Linked DNA regions of Cricetulus griseus. The protein of the gene in region 3 interacts with the protein of the main gene of each other region in a pairwise test. Links are inferred from orthologs where the notes say so. Each region holds a gene or a part of one and is shown on either strand. Other genes may lie near its edges.

The links.
Region 1: the proteins of Ap1m1 (region 3) and Zbtb8a interact in binary tests that used the Homo sapiens proteins (3 or more experiments, as listed by UniProt). The two-hybrid records come from large-scale screens. The link is inferred for Cricetulus griseus from reciprocal best matches to the Homo sapiens genes AP1M1 and ZBTB8A.
Region 2: the proteins of Ap1m1 (region 3) and Rundc3a interact in binary tests that used the Homo sapiens proteins (3 or more experiments, as listed by UniProt). The two-hybrid records come from large-scale screens. The link is inferred for Cricetulus griseus from reciprocal best matches to the Homo sapiens genes AP1M1 and RUNDC3A.
Region 4: the proteins of Ap1m1 (region 3) and Ap1b1 interact in a two-hybrid assay, tested with the Homo sapiens proteins (2 studies listed by BioGRID, with this or other methods). The link is inferred for Cricetulus griseus from reciprocal best matches to the Homo sapiens genes AP1M1 and AP1B1.

The regions. Positions count from the first base shown.
Region 1 is NC_048595.1:23,661,243-23,669,275, forward strand, and holds the start of Zbtb8a (zinc finger and BTB domain-containing protein 8A), read left to right. Parts: upstream 1-3,168; 5' UTR 3,169-3,541; exon of another isoform or gene 3,542-3,630; intron 3,631-8,033. UniProt on the Homo sapiens protein: May be involved in transcriptional regulation.
Region 2 is NC_048600.1:115,696,818-115,703,963, forward strand, and holds the end of Rundc3a (RUN domain-containing protein 3A), read right to left. Parts: coding exon 7,073-7,146; intron 6,263-7,072; coding exon 6,173-6,262; intron 6,076-6,172; coding exon 5,995-6,075; intron 5,844-5,994; coding exon 5,678-5,843; intron 5,559-5,677; coding exon 5,401-5,558; intron 4,678-5,400; coding exon 4,540-4,677; intron 4,443-4,539; coding exon 4,336-4,442; intron 3,348-4,335; coding exon 3,205-3,347; 3' UTR 2,773-3,204; downstream 1-2,772. Other genes in the region: Slc25a39 (solute carrier family 25 member 39), read left to right, coding at 127-194, 304-428, 595-768, 1,040-1,143, 1,331-1,412, 1,490-1,570, 1,670-1,785. UniProt on the Homo sapiens protein: May act as an effector of RAP2A in neuronal cells.
Region 3 is NW_023276806.1:246,994,342-246,998,558, forward strand, and holds the start of Ap1m1 (AP-1 complex subunit mu-1), read left to right. Parts: upstream 1-1,417; 5' UTR 1,418-1,546; coding exon 1,547-1,588; intron 1,589-4,217. UniProt on the Homo sapiens protein: Subunit of clathrin-associated adaptor protein complex 1 that plays a role in protein sorting in the trans-Golgi network (TGN) and endosomes.
Region 4 is NW_023276807.1:99,873,154-99,880,501, reverse strand, and holds part of Ap1b1 (AP-1 complex subunit beta-1), read left to right. Parts: intron 1-1,201; coding exon 1,202-1,322; intron 1,323-2,709; coding exon 2,710-2,805; intron 2,806-3,795; coding exon 3,796-3,911; intron 3,912-4,203; coding exon 4,204-4,369; intron 4,370-7,348. UniProt on the Homo sapiens protein: Subunit of clathrin-associated adaptor protein complex 1 that plays a role in protein sorting in the late-Golgi/trans-Golgi network (TGN) and/or endosomes.

The DNA.
Region 1 (8,033 bases), on a different chromosome or scaffold from region 3:
AGCCTTGTTGGTGCATGCTTTTAATTCCAGCACTCTCAAGGCAGAGGCAGGCAGATCACTGTGAGTTCGAGGCCAGCCTGGTCTCCAGAGCGAGTGCCAGGATAGGCTCCAAAGCTACATAAAGAAACCCTGTCTCGAAAAACAAAACAAAACAAAAAAACAAAAAAAAGGAAAGTTTTCATCACAGGCTGTTACACAACAACCATCAGGTTTGACTCACTCTTTCTTCCTTTCTTCTCTTTCCTCTCTTCTCTCTCTCTCTCCTCTCTCTTTCTTTTTTGAGACAGGGTTTCTCTGTGTAGCCCTGGCTGTCCTGGAACTCTATGCTGGGCCAAGAGTTTGTTTTGTTTTGTGTTTGTTTTTTTCTAGACAGGGTTTCTTTGGAGTCTATCTTGGAGCTCACTCTGTAAACCAGACTGGTCTCAAACTCACAGAGATCCTCCTGCCTCTGCCTCCCGAGTGCTGGGATCAAAGGTGTGCACCACCACTGCCCGGCTGGGCCAAGAGTTTTTATTCACTATTGTATTTTAAGAGTCAGCAGCAAACACCTTGCTCATAGTATGTGCTGAATAAATTCCTGTGAAATTGGAAGGAGATGCTAGAGAGATGGCTCAGTGGAAAGATCACCGGAGGCTCTCTCACAGAGGACCTGGGTTTGAGTCCCAGAACTCACGTGGTGTCGCATAACCATCCTAACCCCAGTTCCAGAGGCCCGGTGCCCTCTGCTGGCTTCTACCACCAGCAGCAGGCACATAAACAGTAAGGGGCTCCTGTAAGTAATCCCTCACCCATATTCCTGTAAGTAACCTCAATATACACATACGGACAAAACATTCATTGAAGGGACCAGCTGCTCCTTTCAGCAGCCATGACAGTAACACATGCTTGCCAAGACCTTGTCCTAGTCACTAGAAGTCAGATGCCTGCCTCGTGGCAAGGAACCAATCAGAAGTTAGCTGATGGCGCTATGCTTTACGGCTCTGGGTGTGCTTTACGGACAAGTGCACGGCAATGGCGCACAAAGCATAGCAACCAGTTGACCAATAAACACAGGGCAAGCCCTCCAAGCCTGGAGGCACACCAATCCTGAGCCTGTGCATACCCCTAGACACTCCCCTTATGCTGCCCTATAAGATCTTTCGGGAGCCCCTAGGAGCCGTCTTTGCTAGCCATCTGCCATGGTGGGTGCTATCAAAGACCCGAGCTAACATGGGGTTAGCTCGTTAAACTACAATAAAGCCTCATGCAATTTGCATCGAGCTTTCGCCTCCATTCTGTGTTTGGGGTGGCCGAGGTCCTGGGCTAAGATTCTGGAAGCCTCAGCTTTCCTAGGGTCTAACAACTGAAGTCAGGAGGATGAAGATGAAAGGAAAACTCTTTCTCCTCGGAATACAGTGCATCAGCAAGCAACCTTATGTGGTCTGTCTAGAAGCATGCTTACAGACTTGTTCTATTTTATGTGCTCACTTGTTTTTGGAGAAAGGTCCAGGTGTATAGCCTAGGCTAGCTTGGAATGCCTGCCGGGCCCTCCAGTTTTACATCTGCCAGTCGCTGGCCTTACAGCACACCTGGCTATGTTGGCTGTTTGAATTCACTAACACTAAAAATAAAACCTTTGGCCAGACGCAGCGCAGCGGCACACACCTCGCTTCCCAGCTGCTTGGGTGGTTGAACAAGACAATGATGATAGAGCGAGCCCAGGAGTTCAGGGTGGCAATGGCATTTAGAGTGGAGGAAACACACCACACACACACACACACACACACACACACACACACACACACACCATTTTCCCCCTTCAAATTCACCTGCTTTCCATTTGGTGGGGCCCCTCTGCTCTGAGATGTGGTTTGGATTGACAGGATGACCTGGCCTAAATTAACCGTGGCCAGTGTGCCCTGGGGCTCCCCTACATACCTGTCTGGAGTGTAGACTAGGGCTAGCTTCCAGATCAGAGACATGAATAGCCGCTGGAGAATTGTTTCCAACTTCCTCTTGGACGCAGGAATGGACAAAAGGCTGCTATTTGCAAGCATTGCAAGCCAGGCCCCCTAGGGTGCAAAGGAACCTTCCTGGTTGGCTTAATTGGCAGCAGAATGTTTTTGTTTTGAGACAGGGTCTCCTTGTGGCTGCCCTGGAACTCTCTTTGTAAACCAGGATGGCCTTGAATACAGAGAGACCTGCTTGCCTCTGCCTTTCCAGTGCTGCAATAAGCTACTATAATGTCCAGCTCTTTCTGGGATAAATCTTCAATGGGAATGTTAGAACAGCTTGAGCATATTCAGCAATGCTGAACCATAACGGTTTTCTTTTTCAAGACAGGGTCTCACTATGCGGCTCTGGCTGTCCTGGGAGGGCTTCTAACTCAGAGATCTGCCTGCCTCTGCCTCCTGGAGTGCTTTGATTAAAGGTGTGGTAAGGATTTTCAAACTAGCTTCTGGCTACTTTTCCTTCCATTACCTCAAAAGGTAAAGAAACACATCTAAATCACAAAGCAACTCTGGAGTAAACAGGTATAATATTCAGGAAAGACCAAATGTTTTGTTCTAGCTAATCGGTGAGGAAACCGAAGAAACAAGACCCTAATAGGCCCAACTAAGACTTGGGAGAGGAACCCCTCAAAAAAACATTAAATGTATGCTTTGAAGATTTGAGTCTCCCCCCATTTCATCATAATACACTATTTCACAGCAATTAACAACTAATATGAGGAAATATAAAATTAATTTAGTTTAGCTTGGCGGTGGTGGCACAAGCCTTTAATCCCAGCACTCGGGAGGCAGAGGCAGGCAGATCTCTGTGAGTTCGAGACCAGCCTGGTCTACAAGAGCTAGTTCCACGACAGCCCCCAAAGCCACAGAGAAACCCTGTCTTGAAAAACAAAAACACAAAATAAAATCATGTTCTCAATATCTCAGCCTCTCTGGGCTTGCCTTTTCAAATGGTCTGAAGGGGACCTACAAAGGTTTCTAAAGGGTTATCCCTGACTAGAATAAGTGCTTCGATAAAGAGAGGAAATTTGTGGAAATCTCTTCCATTTGACGTTGCTAAACTTAAGAACAATAATGTCATATGTACTTATACAGTAATTGTGGGCACGCCTAAGTCCCTCCCTCTGTCCTTAAACCAATATCCCCACATCTTAGAAATCCTAGCCCTTTTTCTGCCCTCCGGAGGCGCCTTTCCCAACGTAAAGTACAATTTTAAAATTTAAGCTCGCGACTAAAAGAATGATCCGCAGTCAACTGCTGGGGAATCTGGGCGCCCCAGCGCCTGCGGAGGGTGCAGCCGGGTGTGGGCACGGACAGGGGGAGTGGGCGAAGCTGCTGGTTGGTGCCTGAAATCTGTGCGTTGCCCCTTTAATTGTGTCCTCAGCCCTCGGGCGTTTCTGTCCAACGCCCACGTCAGCAAATACCTTTTGTTTCTCCCACGTTGGGGCTACTTGTTTTAGGGCGCACAGCCTCGGCTTCGGAAGGGGGTGCTTCCCCCACCGGGAACCGGGAATTACTCCGCAGCGAGCACGAGCGGCCAGAGCCCCGCGGTAAGTGGCTGCGAGGGCGCGGGCGGGCAGAGGGCGGCCGGGGCGTCGGGGCTGCGGGCCCGGCCGAGAGCCTGGCGGAGGGCGGCGAGGCCGCCGGGTGCGCCCCGGTGTGTAGGCGTTTTCGGGGAGAGCTCCGGGGCCGGCGACGGCCACAAAGGAGGCACGGGCGGCGGCGCGGCGGCCCGGGCGCGGCTGCGGGACAATGGCTGCGTCGTCGCCGCTCGCGCCCGCGCCCCGCCCGCGGCCGGCCCCGGAAAGGCGGGAAGGCGCCGGAGCCTCCTGGCGGCGGCGGTAGGGAGGCGGCGCCACGGAGTCGGGGCGTGTCTGCAGCCGTCGGGCGCCGTGGCGGGGGAAGGGCGCGGGGCGCGGGCGCGCGGGGCGCGGGGCGCGGGGCGCTGCCGCCCGGCGTTCTCACTCCACCCACCGCCCTCTCGCTTTCGATCACGACACGACACGACACGACGGTTCCGAGCTTAGAACCGAGGACAGGAATATGGAGCCCCAGCTGGCTCCCGGGAGAATGTCCCTGGCATCTCCCACCTGGCGACACTATCTGGTTTGGTCCCTTCGCGCTCTGGCGCGCTTAGTCGCCCTTGACCGTGCGGTTAGCAGTATTCCACGTCTTTCCGAGACGTGTTTGGAATGGGATTCACACCTAGCGGGCACCCAACCGCACACACCGCTAACACCTTAGAAGTCTTTATGTTTGCAGGACTTTAGTAAATGGAGTGGTTTCGCTTTCATGAAATAGTTCACTTGATTTCTTATAAGACAACTACCTGTTCAGGCCGTTTATTCTCCCTTGCAAAGGAAAGACTCTAACCACGGAATCTCACCCCTAGACAGGGAGTGTTGACAACTTCTCCAGCCCTCCTATTCCAGCAGCCTCCTGGAGCAGTCAGTCTCCAAGAACCAAAAACCTTCACTGATCTTTATCACTTAAGGCTTACTTCCATTTACCTATTTAATTTTGTTTTAAGCTGGACTCAGGCTAGCTTGAAATTTTGATTCTATCTCTACCTCGGGAGGGTTGGGATGAACTAGTCGAATTTCAGTCTGTCTTAAATCTTTTAATGGCATAATTATATTCTTTAATATCAAAGGGGTTGATATAAGGTTGTTGTTGTTTTTTTTAAATTTTCCCTGATTTTTAAAAAGTATCTTCTTTTGAAGACAAGGTCCTATGTAGCCTAGGCTGGCCCCAAATCTATATAGTTTGTGATGACCTTGGACTCCTGTTTCTCCTACAGCCACCTGTCAAGTGCTGGGGTTGCAGGCATGAATCTGTGCTGGAATTGAACCCAAGACTTCATACATGTTTACATAGGCACTCGACTAATGAACCATATGCCCAACCCTCCCCAAGCCTTAAATGGCAACCACCCCCACATCTTACCAAAAAAACCCAAAGGCTCAGAAGACCTATAGTCTTCAAGGCCTTATAGGAACTGGGCTCACTGTGTTTGTGTGTGTGTGTTTCGGGATTGAACCCAGGGACTTGCACACGCTAGACAAATATTTTACTGTTGGGATACATTCCCAGACCCCTTCCTTATTTATTTATTTATTTATTTATTTATTTATTTATTTATTTATTTCTCAAACAGAGTTTCTCTGTGTAGCCCCGGCTGCCCTGGAACTCCTGACTCTGTAGACCAGGCTGGCCTCGAACTCATAGATCCACCTGCCTCTGCCTCTGGAGTGCTGGAATTAAAGGGGTGCGCCACCACCATCCAGCCACATTTTTTTTTTTTTGGTTTTTTTGTTTGTTTTTGTTTTGTGAGATAGGGTTTCTCTGTAGCTTTGGAGCCTCTTCTGGCACTTGCTCTATAGATCAGACTGGCTTCCTGAAAGACCTCAGAAGAGGTACTTTCGTAGAAGGAGACCCGCACCCAGGAATCAGCGAAACCACGAACTCTGGATGTAAGAGCAAGAGGCTTTATTAGTAGCGCTGGTACCCCGGGGCTTAGCTTTTGGGTAGGCTAAGCCCCGAGCCAAGGGAGAGGGGTCCTTATATAGCTAAAAAGCACAGTGCAGAAGCGAAAAGCATAGTTACAGGGATTCTATTGGACAATTTAATGAGGTACAGAGTTATCAGTATATTCTCAAGGTCTGCACCTGGTACAACAGACCCAATTCCCCCCTCCGCGTCCAGATGGCTGACCTTGGGACGGAGGTTCCCCATGGGGGGGGCGTCCTCTCCCCGCTCGGCCCCAGCCCCGGGGCGCGGCGCCAGGCGGGCGGGCCTGGGTCGAGGGCCCCCCGCCTGGGTGAACCGGCTTGGGAGGGAGCCAGCCGCCAGGCGTGTGGGAGTGTGCGCGCGTACGGGAGTGTCACCGAGAGAGAACCAGCCAGGGGGCGGGGTCTTTCACTCCAACTCACAGAGATCCACCTGCCTCTGCCTCCCGAGTGCCAGCCACATTTTTTTTTTGGTTTTTTTTTTTGTCTCTTGGCTTTGGAGGCTGTCCTGGAACTAGCTCTTGTAGACCAGGTTGGTCTCAAACTCACAGAGATCGGCCTGCCTCTGCCTCCTGAGTGCTGGGATTAAAGGCATGCGCCACCACTGCCCAGCCACATTTTTTTTTAAAGTAAATTTATTTTGAGATGAGGGTTTTCTGAGTGGCCTAGGGCTGCCTTGGACTTGCTCCTCCCTGCCTCAGCCACCCAGCTCAGCTGGCATTATAGACATAGCTCTCCCCACGCCTTCTCCATGCTTGTTCCACTCAGGGCCTTTGCATCCTGCTGTTCCCTTTGTCTGGAGTACTCTTGTTTCAGATACAAATAAATGACTCTTTCCTACTTTGGACATTACTCAAATGAAATGTCATCTTCTAACTGAGGCTTTCAGCTATAGTTTGTCTCTTTTTTTTCTTAAGTTTTAAATGGTGTTTTGCCTGTAAGTGTGTCTGTATACCAAGTGCATATGATAGTGTTGGATCCCCTTGGATGGTTATAAGCCTCCTTGTTGGTGCTGGGGAGCAAACCAGGTCCTTAGCCAGTGCTCTTAACCATCTCCAGCCCCTCTTAAATGTGTTTTTGTCTTTTGGGTTTGTTTTTTTTCAAAGCAGGATTTCTCTGTGTAGCCCTGGCTGCCCTGGAACTCAATTTGTAGACCAGGCTGATTGTGAACTCACAGAGATCTGCCTGTCTCTGCCTCCCCAGTGCGGGGATCAAAGGTGTGCACCCCCATGTCCAGCAAATATTCTTGTATTTAGTTCTAAAGATCTCCTGTCTTAGGTCCTGTAGCCCATATGTGCTACTGAAACCAATTATCTGAGATTAGATAACACAAAAAGAAGAAATATTGCTGGGTGGTGGTCTTACACTTCTTTAATCTGAGCAGAGGCAGGTGGATCTCTGAATTTGAGGTCAGCCTGGTCTACAGAGTGAGTTCCAGGACAGTTGAACGAACAAAACAAACAAAATAAGAACAGATATTTATTTTTCACAGTTGTAGATGCTAGAAGTCCAAGATTAGGGTGTTGGCGGTACCCTGACAGGTGAAGGCTTCTTTCTGCTCCAGTATGGTACCTTGTTGCTACATTCACCAAGGGGAAAACTGTGACCTCATTAGTAAAATGGATAGGAAGGCTGAAGAGGGGTCAGACCCATTTCTCCAAATCCCTTTATTAGGATGCTAATCCCATCCATGAGGGCACCCTCCCTGGCCTGATAACCACGTAAAAGCTCCTCTAAATACTCTTCCCCTGAGAATTAACTTTCAGTTTGAATTTCGGAGGAGACACGGCCTTTTACAGCACAGCTCTTAAGATGGACTTAATTCTAAATCTTCCCAGAATTACAAGACCTTCATTTTCTGAAGAATATAACCACTGTTCAACGAACACAATTACCCTTCCAGTTAACTCAAATTTAGGAGCTAGGGGTTTTTGCTAAGACCAACACACTTAGGTCTAGATAAGTGGTTCTCAACCTGGGGTCGAGACCTTCACAGGAGTCGAATATTAAAACATCCTGCATCTCAGATATTTAATTATAACTCATAACAGCAGCAAAATTACAGTTATGAACTAGCATCGAAAATAATTTTATGGTTGGGATCACCACTACAGAAGAAACTGTATTAAAGGATGGCAGCAGGAAGGTTGAGACTCACTGCCCTGGGTCAATGCTGTGAATAGTATCAGGCTTTACTTGTTATCCAAATCTACATGACTTTCTATTCTAAAGACCTTCAAACTAAATGGTTCCTAAAATATGTAATTGTCTTTTCCCACCACCTTTTAAAAGATCACTGACCTTAGTGGGAATTTTGAATTCTGTAATCTTCTTAAGGGCTACTATAGATACTTAACTCAGAGATATTGTAAATGTTCCATTTGACTTTTGGATGACTCACCTGAGGTAATCTAACCGTATTTGCTAATATAACTTGTAAGATCAGTCTACTGAAAATAAGAAAATCTGGAAGGCATTATCCATGCCTGTGACTTAGTCCTGTAAGCCTAAAATCAGCCTTTTGATGCAGGAT
Region 2 (7,146 bases), on a different chromosome or scaffold from region 3:
GTGTGGAAACCTGAGGGCTAGCTAGCTAGCTCTTATCAGGACCTGAGGGCCAACTAGCTCTGAGCCAGCCCATCACAGACCTTGTTCATGTCTATCTTTCCTCTGGGCTCTTGCTGGCTTCGTCAGGATGCCTTTGTGAAGATAGTGAGGCATGAGGGCACTAGGACCCTGTGGAGCGGCCTCCCAGCCACCCTGTGAGTACTCCTGCCCCCTCCATTGACTCCTATTGGCAGGGTGAGGGAGGGAGTGCTTGAAAGAACTGGGAGTCCTTAGGTGACTTTTCTGGCCTCTTGGTATGCCCAGGGTGATGACTGTGCCAGCTACTGCCATCTACTTCACTGCCTATGACCAACTCAAGGCTTTCCTGTGTGGTCAATCCTTGACCTCTGACCTCTACGCACCCATGGTGGCTGGTGCCCTCGCCCGAAGTGAGCACAGCCCTGGCTCTTGACCTCCCTTTGTCCCTCCTGGGTCCCAGTGCCAGCCTCTGCCTGGGGGTGGGGGTATTATGCTAACCCTCAGACCCGGGGGCAAGAGCTGGGTTTTGATGCATGGCATCCGTGGCCTGACCTTCTACTATCTTACCAACCATAGTGGGCACTGTGACAGTCATCAGCCCCTTGGAGCTTGTGCGGACCAAGCTACAGGCTCAGCACGTGTCATACCGGCAGCTAGCTACCTGTGTTCAAGCTGCGGTGGCTCAGGGGGGCTGGCGCTCACTGTGGCTTGGCTGGGGTCCCACAGCCCTTCGAGATGTGCCCTTCTCAGGTAGGCACTTTTGTTCAGGGCATAGGGTAAAAGAGGCTTTGGATAATGTTGAAGGGGTCTCTACACACAAGTCTCTCCTTTGTTACTAATGACCATGAACTCATCACTTCTGAGCCTTGGGTTCCTTATTTGTGATACGGACTTGGCAGGGAGGGGTTTGGCTAGGTACAAAGCAGGCACCACCTGGGGTGGTTTGGCTGTGGGTGGGAGATGAGAAGTCTGGAGCCCACTCCCTGGCTCCCACCTTTAATGAATGTCTCTACTTCCCAAGCTCTGTACTGGTTCAACTATGAGCTGGTGAAGAGCTGGCTGAATGGGCCAAAAGACCAGACATCTGTGGGCGTCAGCTTTGTAGCTGGTGGCATCTCAGGAATGGTGAGTTGACTGGGTTGGGGGTGAGGCCACCAGAGGAGGCCCTCACATATAGCAGTCCCTGCTAGGGAGCCTGCTTGCTTTCCTCAGCCACCCTTGAGATGCTTTAGTCCCTCCCACGAGCTATGGGAGAGCTGGGACAGGGGCCCTGGGAATGGAGCCGAGCCTTCTTCCCACCCCACCCCACCAGGTGGCTGCCACCCTTACTCTGCCCTTTGATGTGGTGAAGACACAGCGACAGATCACACTGGGAGCACTGGAGGCTGTGAGAGGTGAGCTGGGCTAGTCAAGGTGGGGGGCAGGCAGGGGCCCAAACTGAGTCCTAATGAACTGGGTCTTGAATCTGTAGTGAAGCCCCCAAGAATTGATTCCACTTGGCTCCTGCTTCGGAGAATCAAGGCGGAATCGGGCACCAGAGGACTGTTTGCTGGTGGGTAACTGTCTGTGTGCACATGTACTGTGTGTGTACTTCCATGTTATATCTGTGAAGGGACCCAGCCTCTAACCAAGGTATGTCCTCCCACCACAGGGTTCCTCCCAAGAATCATCAAGGCTGCTCCCTCGTGTGCCATCATGATCAGCACTTACGAGTTTGGCAAAAGTTTCTTCCAGAGGCTCAACCAGGAACAGCCTCTGGGCTCCTGAAAGGCGAGGAGCAACCAGCTCTTGAACGGGTGGGGACAGGAGACTGAGCCAAGTGCCTTCCTCCCCAACCCAGTCACCCAGGCTACCCTCACATTTTGATTCCTGCTGTTCTCCCTACCACGGTCACCACTCGTCCACCTCCAAGTTCAAGACCAAATCTGACAGCTGCCCCTTTCTTTGTAACCCTTTATGTTTGTTGAAGCCTGGCCCCGAGGAATCAAGATCTCGGGCCAGGCAGCTCTGTTTATTTCCCTGTCTAAAGATGACCTTCTGTGCACTGCTGTGACTGCGGTGTCTTGGGGTATGTGTGTGCATTTGGGGGTCCCCAGTCAGTCACCCACACTTGTTATTCCAGCACTTGGGAGGCTGAGGCAAAGGGATTGCCTCAAGCACCAGGTCAACCAGGACTGCATAACAAGATTCTGTCAAAAAAAAAAAGGCTGCCACTCCTGGCATGGTGGCACACACCTTCAATCCAGCACTAGAGATTGGATGGCAAGTGGATCTGAGTCTGAAGCCTGCCTGGTCTGCACAGTGAGCCCCAGGCCAGCTAAATACCCTGTCTTAAAAGTTTCCCACGTTACGTGGTACCCAGTCAGACAGGACAAAGGTGAAAGATGGTGAAGAGGTCCTTCCATGCTGGGCCACTGTGTTGGCGTGAGAGCAAGCGCACGCCAAGGTGGTATTGCTGGAGCAGAATCCCCTGCTTGCCAGCTCTGGCACAATGGATGGGACTGCAGCTCTGATTCACAATGGAGTTGCATATGCCTATGGCAGGCAAATGTCCCACTAAGGCACACCGTCAGAGGGCTCTGCTAGTGCTTGAGAAAATACTAGAGGGGTCAGAGCCAGAAAGAAGCCCCTCCCCCCTTGCCCTGAATTATGGCCCACTTGCTCCCATAGGACACATGCTAGTCCTGCCCCATTACCTTCATTTAGAGAGCCTGCTATGGAGCCCTACCCCACTCCCCAACAGATGAAGCCACCTCAGTCCTCTGGTTTTTATTTGCCTAATCTCCCCACATAGGTACCAAGGAAGGATGACTTCAGAGGGTACACAGGGATAGACCAGAGGCAGGGCAGCAGGAATGCCAGGGCTGGACCACCTGCTTCTGAGGCAGGTGTGGAACATGAGCAAAAGGAACCAGGCAGACTTCAGGGCCACCAGAATGGAGCAGCCTTCCCAGGGGACTGGCTACTTGTGACCTGGGTGCCCCTTCCTCCTGGTGCCACCACTTGCCAATGCAGCTCCTGCCTCCTTGGTGGGAAGCTGAAGCAGGAAAGAGGCTTGGGTTGTCTTTCCCTAGAGACCCTCGGCTAGATGGTCAGCATCCTTGAAGGGTTGCCTGGGTTGGGGGACTCAGGTGACCGTTGTCCGTGGCCCCTGGCAGGTGGGGCAGGCATTGCCCGTGCTGCTCCTCAGCTGGGGCTAAGTGCCGGGCTGCCCTCGGGGCTGTCGCTCACCAAGCATTCGTTGGATTTGAAGCTGGCCAGGGACTTGCAGCTGGGGATGGAAGCCAGGGAGCCGCAGAGGCCCAGCATGGAGGGCGTGGGGTCCTTCCCTGGGGAGAGAGGGCGGGTGAGGCTGGGCCAACCAGGCTGATGTGGGGCAGAGGATTTCAGGGATGGGCAGTAAAAGGACAATTCTCAGGTCACTCCCAGGAGACTCTTGGCCTCTTCTGAAGCATCTGCCATTAAACCCTGATGGCGTGTGCCTTACTTTGGGCTTGGGACACTGTATTGTAATCATCCGGTCATGTCTCTGGTCTCCCCCTGAGGTTCAGCCTCTTTGTCCATTTATTAAGCACACAGTAAGCATTTGCTCTGTTTCACATTGGGAATACAGAGAATGGACAAGACATGATTCCTGCCCTCTTGGAGCTCACAGTCTGATTGGGGAGACACACACAGTCACAAACACAGTGTGGTGGATTACATGTCCAAAGCCTGCAGTGTCTCAAAATCCAGTTATCTGGTACAGTGGAGTTAATATATCTATTAAAAAAAAAAAAAAAAAAGTCCAGGCATGGGGAAAACTAGGAAGGGAGAAACCAAGTTGGAGCCAGGGGTGAGGTAACACAACGCATGCGCGGAAGTCCTGGGCATTCACTCGGAGGGAGCCACTAATTTGGTTCTGAGCTTCCTGGCACCAAAGAAAAGGGGGAAACATTGGTCAGCCGAGCAGTTCACAGAGTGCATACCGTGAGAGCAAACTAGGCTGAGGACTCTCTGGAGTATGAGCCCTGTGAGGATATCACATGATACTAAAAGGTCACTGAGCCCTCTCCATAAATGGACATGAGATTCTTTTCACCAATGTCCCTATTTTACAGCAAGGTGAAGAGACTGACCAAGCTTGCAGGTGAGGGGGTGCAGCCTAGATTTGCACTTGGTTCTCTGAAACCCCAAAGCAAGCTCCTCATTGGTGCTGTAATGTAAGTACAGGAAGGGCTAAGAGACCCTTCAGTTCAGCCATTCTCTCACTATAGACCCCCAGCAATTTTCTAAAGTATATGAAATGCCAAGGTATATGTATGGGGGTGTGCTCACCAATGGGGCCCCAGGGTTCCTCATCCCGCTTGCCCTCTCCCAGACGCTGGGAGTCTGAGCTCAGGCTGGCTTCTGCAGACAGCGGCTCGGTGCTCATGAAGCTGTGTCTATGACAGGACAGAAATGCGTGCAGGCCGTGGTACATAGCTCCAGGCCTTGCTTCCTGGGAGGGAGTTTGAGGGCAGCAATTGGGTTGGGGCTTACCTCCGATATAGCTTCGAGTTGCTGGCACCCTCAGGCCTATTGAGTGTGCTCAGGGAAGGCCATTGGTTGACCAGGGGTGTAGTGAACTCCTTGGAACCCTGGGCCAGGGGGGCATGGTCACCGGGGATCAGACCTGTCCTGGGAGGGGGAGGGGGATCAGGCCTGGCTGGGAGAGGGAAGCAAGACTCAGCAAAGGTGGGGGCCAGGGCTTAGAAAGGAAGCCTGAGTGGTAAAAATTGGGATATACACTGCTCAGGGATGATGGCCCAGATCTGGAGTTTGCAGCACAAGGGTTGGAGGCAGAAGGAGCACAAGTCTGAGGCCTGCTAATTAGTGACACCATGTTTCTAAAGGGGCCAGGGAGGCAGCGTTAGATCCTGGAGGGAGTGTAGGGGTAGCCTGGGGACAGAGGGGTAGCCAGGATTAGTGCATTCATGTTGGGAGTTGGAGGGCTGGAGTGCTTAAGACTTAGTTGGGGTGATGTAGAGAGGAAAGTGGAGAGGGTGGGTGGGAATTGTGCTAGCTAGTTAACTAGCTGGAACAAGTTTAGGGGAGAAATGTTCCAGGTTGTGGGATCGCTGGGTGATGCAGATCAGAGGCCTGAACAAAAGAGCTTCAGCCGCTGAGGTCCTGTGAGTAATGTGGTACTTCAGCAGTGACTGGAGTCCCTGGCTGATGGGTGACGGAGGCTCCAGGATGTTAATGTCGGGGGTAGTGGTTGGCAACCACAGGCCTCGGGAGAGTGGGATATGGGTGGGCTGATGCAAATGGGATGCTGGTGTAAGGAAAGTGATGCCATCCAATGGAGTGATTTCGGGGTTCCCAGGGGTCGGGTCGGGTCAGGGCAGGAGGCGTGCTCACAGCTGCTCCTGAAGCTCCAGGATCACGCCTTCCAGCTCTCGCTTCTCCCGCTGATTCTGTGCTGCAGCCTCCTCCAGCTGCAGCTGCAGCCGCCGGTTCTCCGCCTCCAGGTCCTTCAGCTGCGACTCGCGCAGACGCACCAGCTCCTCCAGGTAACCCTACCAAGCAGCGCCAGCTCAGCTAGAGCTTCCAAAGGGGTCCCAGCTGGTGTCCCAGCCTGGACCCTGCCCACGCCACGCCCATCTCCCCGCGCCTCGCCTCGCCTCGCCTCGCTCACCTTCTGCGCATAGACAATGCGAAACTTCTGTTCCATCTTGTGCCACTTGCTGTACCAACTGTCCTCGTCAGTGACGAGAGGCAGGTAGGGGTGCTCAGGCGAGTTGTCCTCGCTGGTGCTGCTCTCCGCACTGTGTCGCTCCTCCTCATCCGTCAGGTAGTCGTAGCTTAGGAGCGGGAGCAGTGGGTGGGGCCGGCTCCGCCCCGCCTCGCCCCACTAGCACCCCAACTCCGACCCTTGGGCAGTGACACCAGGATGACACTCAGTGCCCTCCCGGTGCCCATCTCCTCACCCACCGCAATAACCGGGCTGCTCACCTCTGGGTGAATTTTAGGTAGGGTGTGTAATCGATGACCACCGGCGTCTTCCCGTCCAGAACTTCGCCCTTTAGACAGAAGCTGAGGCAGAAGAGTCACGGGGTGGGAGGAGGGCATGAGGGGCGTTGGACAGTTGTGGAGGAGAAAGTCCCATTCACCACCACCATGCAGACCCCACCTGAAGTCAATGGCGCTGAGCCCGATCAGCATCCCTGTGAGGACAGTGGCTTCCTCCCGCAGCATGATGGCTCCGGAGTCATAGAACCGTCTGCAGAGAGAGAACCGAGACTCCCAGGGGGCCCACTCCCAGGACTTGTCTGCTTGGCTTACTTACTACAAGCTTTCCTAGAGGAAAGAGATGCCTCCTTCCAGCTTGCCAGCCCTGGTCTCCCGCTTGGATTGTCACTCACTCACGGGAACTAGCGCCCGACCCCACCCCCACACCTATCACAATGCATGTTCCTTATAAGTGACACTCTTCTGTTCTCTAAGCTTAGCAGCCGCTATCAAGCTCTGGGTCACCTCAATCCTTTCAATCAGGGAGCAAGTCTTAGTGGTTAGTGCTTCTTCTCATACATACAGTAGGTCCTCAAAGGACAATATGTGAAGACTAGGGAGAGAATGTAGTAAAGTTATCAGATTTGGGGGACCCCCTCACCCTCAATAGCTTCCCACTCCAACAATGACACATTCTGCCTTGTGATCCTTGACCCTCAGGATGCACCTTCTTGGCAAACCCTCAGGCCAAGCACTGAAGCTCCACACACTGGAACTCTGTTCTTGGAAGAATAGTGACTGCCTTTGTTTGCAGAGCTGGCAGAGCTGTGTGTTGTAGGTCATGGCACAAGGCCAAGGAAAATGGTATGTGACTGAGGCTTCTGCAGTCCCATTACCATGCCATCTGGGAGAAGCAGACTACCGGTGCATGCTGGAACTTGTAGTCCAGGTATGAAAGGTGTCATCTGGGAGAAGCAGACTACCGGTGCATGCTGGAACTTGTAGTCCAGGTATGAAAGGTTGCTGTGGGGACTTAAGGCATAGGCAATGCAGGTGCATACTGTGGTCTGAGAGGTCTGACCTGGTAGTTCGGTTGTCCCGAAGAGCTGTGGTGATGTATTCTGACATGCGCTTCTCCATCAGAGCCACCCGAAT
Region 3 (4,217 bases):
TGGACAAGATGCCCCAGCAGGTGAAGGCTCTTGCCACCAAGCCTGCAGACCTGAGTTTGAGTCCCAGGATTCACGGTGGAAGGAGAGAACTGATTTCCACAAATTGTCTTCTGAACTCCACATGCTCACACATAACACACACAATAAATGTTAAATAAGAAGGGAGGGAGTAATAAGAGGGAAATGGGCCAATATGTTCAAAATATAAAATGTATACATTATGAAACTGACAAAGGATAAATTAAAATTTTTTAAACTGCATCTTACTGGCTGACCTGGAACACACAGATCTGCCTGCCTCTGCTTCCAAGTGCTGGGATTGAAGGCACACACTACTATGCCTCACTAAAACTTAGTACTTTGTAAAAAGTCCATATTCAGGTGTGTGTGCATGAGTGCAGCTGTCCACAGAGGCATCAGATCACCTGGAACTGGAGTTATAGGCAGTTGTGAAGCATCATATGTGCCTGCTGGGAACAGAGAGAGGTCTCGGCCATTAGGAGTGAATACTTCTCCTGCCCAAAAAACTGAAAAAGGAATGGGGGGGGGGCTGCAAGTAAAGACGCCTGCTGCGGAAACTGATAACCTGATCTCTGGGACCCACATAGTGAAAAGGAGAAAACTGACCTCCCTGTGTGTACTGGAACACACACAAAGCAACTACAAGAAAGAAAGAAAAACAAAGGGGCGGGTGCTGAGGTGTTGGCTGGTCTCCCAGGACGGTTAAGAATGACAGAATTAGGGCTGGAGAGATGGCTCGGAGGTTCAGAGCAGTCCTGAGTTCAACCCCCAGCAACTACATGGTGGCTCACAACCATCTGTAATAAGATCTGGTACCCTCTTCTGGCCAGCAGGCAGAACACTGTATACATAATAAATTTTTAAAAATCTTAAAAAAGAATGACAGAATTAAAAGAAAATCAGCCACACTTTGCACTAGGCACGATGTCTAAATAACACACGTGCTAGTCTAGTCCCCTGGGTTCACTGGGCAAACTGGGGTGGGGCAGCCACTGATAAGTTGACAGAGGCGATTACTGATAAGTTTTGATTGCCATTCAGAGACTGACTTCCTTTAATCGCCACCTGACAGCGAATCACAGCTGGTGACGGGATATTGGTTTACTAGACTGCTGTCGAATGCAAGGCTGACCCAAATCGGTTCCGCTTTCAAACCCACAGCAGCGGGTTTGAAAGCGTTCACCCGGCTTCCACCTCCAGTCAGCCAGCCACAGCCCGATGGCCCCGCCCAGGCCCCTCAGGCCACGCCCACTAGGGAGGGTCCGCCCTCCGGGACTTACTTCCGGCCCTCTTCAGCAGTGGATGAAAAATACTGCCACAAAGTTCGTACTGCGCCTGCACCTATGTTGCTGCGCATGTGCGCACTCGCGGCTTGCCCCTCAGACCGGACATAACGGTCCGCGCGCTGCTCCATGGACCGGAAGTGGAAGGGAAGTGTCGCGGGGCGCGCCGGGCCTTGCTGAACGCCGGCAGTTCCTGCCGTTGCCGCCGCCCTCGGCTATTGCCGAGGCCTTCCAAAGACGCCATGTCCGCCAGCGCCGTCTACGTACTGGACCTGAAAGGCAAGGTATTGAAGGGCTCTCCACCCTCCGCGTTGCCAGGCAACAGCGGGGCCTCGCCCTGCCGGGACCCACCCTGTTGCTAGGTAACTGGCCGTCCAACCCTGCCAGGGCGTTGGGCAGGCGGGGCAGCCTCACTTGCGGACCCTGTCCTGTTGCTAGGAAACGGCCGGTGGTCTTTGAGAGTCCCGCCCCCTCCTTAGCTTACTGGGTGGGCTGTGGTTGCTAGGTGACCGTCGGCTTTGCCCCTCTCCCGCCGGGTCCGGAAGCTGAGGACCCGCGCCCCGGGATCGCGCGACCCTTGGCCGGAGGCGTGGCGGGGACTGTGTCCTCAGGTCGGCCCCTTGCTCCGCTTTCTCCCGAGAGCAGCTGCGCTTCCTGTGACATTGGGTTCAGAGAGGCGAGTGATAGGAATGCCGTCTTGCTGAGGGGAAACAGACTTGCTTGCCTAGAGTCACACTGATGACTGGGAAGTAGCCATCTGGAAGTCCCACCTCAAGCATCCTTGCTTTCAGCTTATGTTTTCAGAGAAGCCAGGCAGGGTGCTAAGCCCTGGGCCCCACGGGTGGGCAGAATCTGTCATGGCTCTCAGCACATGGAAAAGCACAGATACATGAATGACTGTTGGGACCGTGTGTTCATAACGGACTAGCAGCCCCAGCTGGGGGACAGAAAGCTTTCCTGACTGAGACATGAAGGCCCTGGAAGGAATCAGGGTCCAGGCATCTTCCCCAGGGGTGTCTGAGAAAGAAAACTTCATCTGTGTGTGTTTGTGTGGGTTTGCACATGTGTGTGGAGGAAGGAGACCCTGCTACCCTTACATGGGCTCTTGTTATCACACTCAGTCGCTGGACTGATTCAGCGAGGCTGCCTGGCCTTTAAACTACATGGATCTGCCTGTCTGTATTTCCCAGAAGCACCCCTTGGTTTTATAAGACAAGGTTTCTCTGTGTAGCTCAGGCGTCGCTGAGCACACTCTGTAGACCAGACTGGCCTTGACCTCAGATAGGCCTGCCTCTGCCTCAGGCGTGCTGGAATTAAAGGTGTACACCACCACCGTCTGGCATGTACATGGCTCTTTTACATGGTATCTGGATATGGCTAATTTGTGGTTTTGTGATGCAGAGGCAATAACCCCAAGTGTCTCAAGTCTGTTCAATGAGCGCTCTGCCAGGGAACCACAGTAAGCCCAATGCAAAAACCTCTTACTGGAATATATGATCAGCCTTCAGAAATGGGCTATCACTATCCCTCAATCCATCAAGGTAGAAGGCAGGTGGCCAGCCTTTTATATTTGGAAGCTACCAGAACAGGTCCAGCCACAGTAAACAAAGAACACTGGTGTCCAGCCCACATGGAAGAGCTAGAGGTGTCCAGAAGTGAAGAGGAGGTGTGCCCTAGCTCCAGCCTCTTCCTCAGTCCCTAGAATGTGTGCCTGCCTTGGATGCCACCCAAGGTCAACAGCTGGTGAGTCCCCAATCTGGGCTTCCTCCACAGCCTTCTGGGAACCTGAGTAGGCACAGTGTTCTCTAGGCCTTATGGCACATGCTCTGCCTTTTGCCCTGGCCTAGAGGTACATGGGCTGTCTGTCATGGCTTGCCTGTTCCTTTAGCAAACACCTCAGTGGTGCTTAGCAGGTGATCCATCCTGGACTCAAGCTGTAGAACTAGACTCACGTGTAGGTTCAGCCCATCTTTACAGCTGAGGTGTGTGGCCATAGATACCTCCCATGGCATCTCTGAGCTTTGCCTTCCCGGCTGGTCCAAAGAATCTTATCTGGGTTATTGTAGGTGTGATTCAGGCCTGGCCCTGCACAAGGCACAAAGAGCATGGAATTTAGGCTCCACAGGCCTAACAGTTAGGTTGCTTGCCTTCTCTTTGGCAGTCAGAGAAAATTACAAAAGACTTCCAGGCAGAGCTGGGCACCTGAGATGGTTCTGAGGAGGTGACAGGTATCCAAGTTGTCATGCGTGGTATAAGGCAGCCCACAGACTAGTGGTGGCACTTTAGGGCACCAATGGGAGGAGGCCCCAGGGCACTGCAGTTCCAGGAAGGAGGTCCCATGATGGTATGTAAGCAGACCTGCCTCTAGAAAGTTCCTCAGAGAGGCTGTAGAGCTCCCTGCCTCATTCCAAAATCAAGACAACCTTATGACACTGTGCCAGGCTGACTTGCTGGTTACTGTGGCCACCTTTGGCAAGCAGGAGGTCCTCCAAGAATGCTTGGCTGCTCTCTATTCTCCCACAGCTGCCCCTCAGCTTCCCTGCTTGGCAGTGTGGCCCTGGTGACCCTAGGTCTGGGGTGCTGGTTTCCCCTCCTTCTTCTTGATGCTGTCCTTCTGGGCACTGAAGGCAAAACCCCAGGCTGCCCCCTGTTACTCACAAGGACCTGTGTAGTCTAAGTCTGCCTCTCTGGGCACTGTAGTCTCTATCTGTAAAACAGGAATCAGAGCAGGCAAAGGGCAGTCCCTCGGCCCAACATCAGACTCAGAAGTTTACCCAGTGGGTGCTATGTCCCCTACAAGGCCTAAGCGCTTAGGAAAGAAAGGAACCACTTTTGCTACACTGTCCCAGCTGAAAGCAACAGAGACAGAATGTTTTCTGAAGTGACAGGTTCTGAGGCAGGTGGTACCCATGC
Region 4 (7,348 bases), on a different chromosome or scaffold from region 3:
CGTGATTGGGCAGCCTTTGTAAAGTCTCAATTGTAGAAGTCATCTTCCTACTACTCATCTCAGAGTCTTTTCTCCCCCATAGAGCACCACAAAAGCTCCTTACTCAGCCAGGCTCTCCACAGTTTGTATGGCAACACAGACCCTTGAACTCCTCTTTCCTCTGTCCCCATCACAGAGCTTCATCCCTGGCTGTAACTTTGTTTTACAATTATTAGTTTCTATCCTGGGAAGGACATAGAAGTAGGAACCAGGATGGTACCTCTTACCTTGTTCTCAACTTTTTAGTTTGTGACAAATGCAAGCTTTGTAACCTCTCAATATTCCCTTGTCTTAGAAAAATGTGTCCCGTGGTACCATTTGAGGGCAGCAGGCAGCAAGGGAGGAGCAGTAGATACACTTAGATAGCTCAGCAGGTGACAGTTCCTATTGGCAAGTGCCTTCATATAGCAGGCATTGATCATGCTAGATGCTTCCATCTCCCACAGTTGACCTATTGTGCAGGAGTCTGTTTGTGTTCAGAGATTGGCTAGCATTTCCCAGTAGTCATTTGTGTTCCTTATCTGAGATTTAGTAGAGTGACCTACATAAGGGAGAGTATAGAAGAATCCATGAAAGGCTTTCTCTTGAGCTTTCCTCTATTGGAAGGTCAGCAGAGAACAGCAACAAGTGTGGAATGTTTCCTCCCAAGGAGCCAAATTGAGACAGGGCACCTAGGGGCAATAGGGCAATAGGGGCACACTATTTCAGGACTGCAGAAGGAAAGCAGGGTTTAAGCATAAACTGTATTGTTTATAAATGGTCTAGGCATAGCCAGCCGTCTTTATCTTTGAATGAACAGGATGAATGTTCCGAGAGTTTGAGTTCATACACACCAGATTCAGGCCTGGGTTAGTAATTATTCCTGCGCAATTCATTCTCATTTCATGAGTAAGGAAACAAGGGTTGAGGTCACACATTGGGATTAGAACCCTGGCCTGCTGCCTACTATCCATGTAAATTACTTTTCCTTCCTGAGATGTGACCCAGCAAGCTGTAGCCAGGAAGAACCACTACCTATGGCCACACAGTCATGATTATTGTTCTGCCTCCCTGGACATCAAGCTTCACCTATAGCCCAGGAATTCCCCAGCAGATGTGGAATGACGACTCATGGGTCTTATGGCTTCTTTTTTATTCTCTGGGCATCTTGCCCCACCACCAGGCCAGAAATCTTGAAGCATGAAATGAAAGTTTTCTTTGTGAAGTACAATGACCCCATCTACGTGAAGCTGGAGAAACTGGACATTATGATCCGCCTGGCCTCCCAGGCCAACATCGCCCAGGCAAGCAGAGTATGGTGGTGTGGGGCACAAGCTTTGGTGTCAGACAACTTCCTAGGTGTGTCTAGGTCAGCATGCTCACTGTGACATTCTATCTCATGGAGAGTTGTGGATGATAGAGCTCTGTAAGCAAGCAAAAACAACTAATGTCTGTATTAATAAAGAATATTCTCAAGCTGTCCACAAAGGTACACTCCTGAAGTCCCAGATACTTGGGTGGCTGAAGCAGGAGAATCACTTGTCATAAGATCAAAACTACCTTGGACAACATAAATAGACTCCCTATACATACTCAAAAAATTCTCCTTATTCTCTCTATTATTATCTATCATTTATTCACTAAAAAATGGTAGTTGGTCACCTAGGGATATGGTACAATTGGTAAAGCACTTACTAGGGGCAGTCATGAAGACCTGAAATTAATATCCAGAACCTATGTTTAAAAATCTGTGTGTGGGAACTGAAGAGATGGCTGGCTCCATAGTTAAGAGCACTTACTACTTTTTCAAAAGACATGGGTTTAGTTCTCAGCACCCACAGAGGGTCTCACAACCACCTGTAACACCAGTTTCAAGGTATCTGATACCTTCTTCTATCCTCTGTGGCACCTACCCCCTCCCTACACACATACCCCACCCCCCATATCACTGGTTCTCTCTCTCTGTCTCTGTCTCTGTCTCTGTCTCTCTCTCTCTCTCTCTCTCTCTCTCTCTCTCTCTCTGTGTGTGTGTGTGTGTGTGTGTGTGTGTGTGTGTGTGTGTGTGTCTGCCCCCCCCTCTCTGCCTCGGTCTCTCTCCCCATCCCCTACACACACAGTCTGGTGTAGTGCACTGGAGAAGTGGAGACAAGCAGATCCCTGGGGCTGACTAGCCAGCCAGCCAGCCTAGCCTCACTGGCAAACCCCAGGCCAGTTAGAGACCCTATCTCAAAACAAAAATAACAACAAAAGTAGATTGATCCTGGGAAATGACACCCAAGGATGTCCTGGCTTCCACATGTGGAGACATGTGTATAAGCGTACCTCCTTATGTCTGCCTCCCCACCGCCTCCGCCCCCCACAAAAAAAGCAGTAGCTGAGGCTGAAAAATGTAGTTTGGGGGTAGAATATCTACTTAGCATCCCCAACACCACACACACAAAATGAGGTTCTTGGATATAGTAGCTGTCAGTGTAAAGCAAGGTTTGTTGAACCTTGCTACATAGTCATCCTCTACCTTCCTTTTGAATTCTCTTCCTTTTGAGGAGCCTGATGACACGCTCCCCTGAGCCGTCCATTGTGAGCAGACAACAGAGTCCCGTCCCTTTGGGAGTTCATGCATTTCTGTTACCCAAGTATTCTAACAGATTGTTCCATCGGATATCTCCAATCCATTTTCTGTTTGGATCACAGGTATTGGCGGAACTCAAAGAGTATGCTACAGAAGTAGATGTGGATTTTGTACGGAAGGCAGTGCGTGCCATCGGTCGCTGTGCCATCAAGGTGGAGGTGAATAGGTTCTGGGATTCCATTCCTAGCCAGGGAGGGAGAAGGTTGTTGAAAACAGAAAGCCAGTCTGATCCTAGAAGCTGTTTATGGTTCAGGAAGTCCAAGGGTCACCAACAGGGCCTCCAAGGTACCCACTACACAGAATTACATTGGCTCTTTTTCACTTCAGGCTCTTGAGTTGTAACAGGTGAAATGATGCCCCTGTAATGATGGTTCTTAATGATGGTTCTCCTACAGCATTATCTAAGGCCACAGGACAGCCACCAGCTCATGGAGTTCCTGTTAGACTTACCACAGAGATCTGCGGCAGGACCTCTGCCTGATAGATACTTCAGAAGATACCTTGATTGAGCTACTGGGCTGCTTCTTCTGACCTACTAAATCACTCTAAACCCAGTGCCCTGACATTTCATTCTCTCCACTCTGCCTGGGGAGCTATTCCTTGACATTGACCTGTACACAGTGGGTCTGCTGGTGGCTTAAGGACCCTGGGATAGCTGGTCATACCCACTCAGGACCCTGAAAACAGCATCTTAAGCTGTTTTCCCCTTGATTTTTATTATTGCTCTCCTGAGACATCTGCCCCTTCGGGCTATTATATAGTATGTAGAAATAAAAGCAAAAGACTAGGTACAGAAACTTTGTAGGTCTAGCCATTGCAGCCAATTTTATGAAACAAGCCAGAGAGATGGGGCCAAATAGGGTCACTCAGCCCTTTGCCTGGAGGAACTCCCAATGACCTCACACTTTCAAGAGCTACACCTCTGGCTGTCTTGTGTTCTCATTCTATCTGTGTGTCCTTTTCATCCAGGGCCCTCATTTGGCCCTTGTCCTCTGCCTCCCCATTGTCAAGGGAAAGAGATCTGTTTTCATGCTATAATAAAGAAGGTGGGCAATGGGTCTGAAGCTGCTTGACTGCAGCAGGATCATTAGCCCAATTGGAAACTGTGTGCAGAGACCTTGCCTACACTGCCTCTTCTTCCCACACAGCAATCTGCAGAGCGCTGTGTGAGCACATTGCTTGATCTCATCCAGACCAAGGTCAACTATGTAGTCCAGGAAGCCATTGTGGTCATTAAGGACATCTTCCGCAAGTACCCCAACAAGTAGGTGCCCACCCCGCATGGGAAGAGAGCAGCTCGGCTTCCTCTTCCTCCTTTCCCTTTCTTCCCATTTCATAGCTTTCTCAGAAGAAACTTTTTGTCTTTTTTGTTCTTTTACCCAAGCTGGCCCTCCAGGCCAAAATAAGATCAGCTAAACTCCAGCTAAACACCCCCTGTCTTCACCATCTCTCCGGGTCTGGGCAGCTGCCTATCTGACTTGGCCCTTAACCCTCCACCACACACATTGGCCAAAATTCCTTGGTGCTTACCTGCTGGCTCAATCCTGCTTTCCTAGGTATGAGAGCGTGATAGCCACACTGTGTGAGAACCTAGACTCCCTGGATGAGCCTGAGGCCCGGGCTGCTATGATCTGGATAGTGGGCGAGTATGCTGAGCGGATTGACAATGCAGATGAGCTGCTGGAGAGCTTCCTTGAAGGTTTTCATGATGAGAGCACCCAGGTGAGCCTTCATGTGAGCACACCCATCACTGATTGCCTAGCCCAATTCTGGCCTGTTCCACCCCTATATCCTTCCTTCCTCCCTCCGATTGCATTGCCACTGTGTATAGACATTAATTGACAGGCTCTGTGTGGCCCCTTTTTCTCCCCCACAGCAGTGCCTCAGAAGACATAGGACAGTCTGTGGTGTGTGTGGAAGTTGGTCAGAAGTTTCTGGCTTTGTTTTGATTTCATATTTATCTTTTGGTAGTACATTGACATGGTTCCAAATAGAAATACTCCTGGGACTATATAATGAAAATTCTTCCTCTAACTGCTTTCAAAGTGGCCATAGTTCTCCCAGTTACTAGCATACTTAAGTTTCTTGGTCATTAGAGATTATAGGAATGGTCCACTAGATGTTCATGCAGACATTTGAGCCAGTTCTATTGTTCTTGGCATTTGTGTTTTATAACCACCACATTTCCTGAATAAGTACTGAGCTAGCACTTCCAGGAGAGGGGAAAAGTTAGATCTATGACATCTAGACACATTTTTATCAGTTGGTCAACATGTAACCTTTACCGTTGATTCATTAGCATTGAACTCAGTGGCCAACAACACTGACTTATGCCTGACTGATTTATCTAGCATGTATATTTCTCCACAGAGAACATTTCTAGAGCCTTCTAGACAAGCACTATAACACTATACTTGGGAGCCATTTTAAATGAGAAGAAGGATACATTTTTTACAGAATGAGAGCTGAAATGAAGGGTAGAATCAGCCTTGCCTTGTCCCAGCCTCAGCTTGGAAGTATTCATCAGCTGATTTAGGTTTCCATTGCTCAGCCTTTATCTACAGATGACCACTTAAGCCCTGTGAATATTGATTTTCAGGGGCAACAAGTGGCAGATTTACAAACATGGAAGCAGGGTGTGACGGTGTACACATGTAATCCCAGCATTTGTGAGGCAATTTTATCGGGTGTTGGTGGTCATCCTTGGCTATATAAAGACTTTGAATCCAGCCTGGGCTACATGAGACCTTGTCAATAAAAACAAGGCTGGTGAAATGGCTCAATGGGTAAAGGCACCTGCCACCAAGCCTAACAGCTTGAGTTCAGTCATAGGAACCATCTGGTCGTAGGAGAGAACCAACTCCTGCAAGTTGTCCTCTATCTTCCACCATGTCTCAATGGCATACATACCTCGCACACACATGAATAAATAGTAAACAGTTGTAATAAAAATACGCCAAGTGTTTAAAAAGCATGGTATTACAAATGAAGAGAAGTGGTGTGTGTCTGTGTCTGTGTCTGTTTCCTTCTCACTTAAATGCTATAGTAGTCCACTATGCAACTTCAGATTGCTTAGAACCTTGCCTTCTCCCCTTAGGGTAATTCTGAAGGCATGTCTTTGTTAATGTATGCTTTATTATTTAAGTCCATTGGACGTTTGTGTGTCTAGTCTGTTCTTGTGAGCGGGCTGCTGTGGCTAGGTGACATGGCGTAGAATTGTGAATATTTCAGGGAGGAAGCCTTACGCAGATAGCTTGGAAAGAAGGGATTGTGCCCTTGAAATCTGGGTAACTCTTGCCTGATTTCATTTGGTAGAATGGTTGTCTTTATTTGACCTCCCATCTCAGATGGTACTGTCCTGCCTCTTGTACTTGATTTGAACAGCTCAGAAGGTAATGGGTATAGTTTTGTCTGCATCTCTTTATTGTTGTTCCTTTTGCTGTGAATTAGGAAATGTCTTCTGCCCAGTGCCAGCAGTGTAACCTAGTGAGTCCAAACATGGGCCATGGAATCATAAACCCCAGAGCCCATACCTCTCATCTGCCTCACCCTTGCTTAATAATTTTATGCTCATCGTTAACATATTTCTAGTCCATAGTAAGTACTCATCAGTGATAGTATTGACCTGGGTCAGAATTAGATTTAAAAGTGAAGTGGCCCAGGAAAAAGCAGGGCCTGCTAGTTCCCGTAGCTGACACTTCTAAACAGCACACTCCCTCCCCATACTCTTGCCTTGGAGTGTTAGGGCTATCTCTGCCACCCTAAGTGGCTTCTGCCTTGGTCACATTCCCATGAGCAGGAACTACAATTAGGCAACAGTTTAGACTCTGTCCTTATAGTTTAACTACTACCATGGACAAAGAGAACTTCTACCTCAGCAGTTCAACAAAAGTCCCAAGATCTGTGTTTTGTGGAGCCATTTACCAAGACTCATGGGCCTGGTGTTCATCCTAGCCTGTATGGGTCGAAAGAGACAAAATGGCAGTTCCCTGAAGGAAAGCCAGCAGAGTGGGTGCTAAGTGAACAAGAACACCAGATGTCCATAGCAGAGTCCTAGCATTGATTCTCATTACCGCTTGCCCTCCCACTGCCACCCGCCTGCACTGCCCACTCCCTCCATGTAGCTTCACTTTTAACATCAGCCGCTCATCTGTGGCTCCCCAGAAGCCAAGCCTTGCCTGTACTGTGTCTGCTTCTATGGAGGATTGCCTGGGCAGGGGGGTAAGTTGCCAGATATTTGGGTTAAGTCTTGTAGCCTCTTCAGCCACAGAAATAAACCTGCTAAAGAGCCAGGGACTAGAGAAGTCAGAAGGAAAAGCTGAGTCAGGAATCTATAGGGAAGAAAACAGCCCTGAAGATCTGAACTCAGGTTTCCTGTGTTCCTTAAATTTACCAAGTCGTCAAAAGGGGATGGTGGTGCACAGCTTCACAAGGATTATTTACATTGTTGTCTGCTTGACTCTTGCAGTTAACCATATGAGTTATACCCATTTTACAAATGAGGAAACTAACTCAGGTCAGGTAACTTTAATGACTGTTGGTAAATGATAGAGTCAGAGTTCAGATGAGGTGTGATCTTACTCTAGCTCCAAATCAAGTGCTGTAGGTTTGCAAAGCTCTTAAGACACCAACTCCCACCTGAAGTGGGTCATGCCTTTTTCTTTTTCTTTTTTTTCTTCCTCCTCCTCCTCCTCCTTCTCT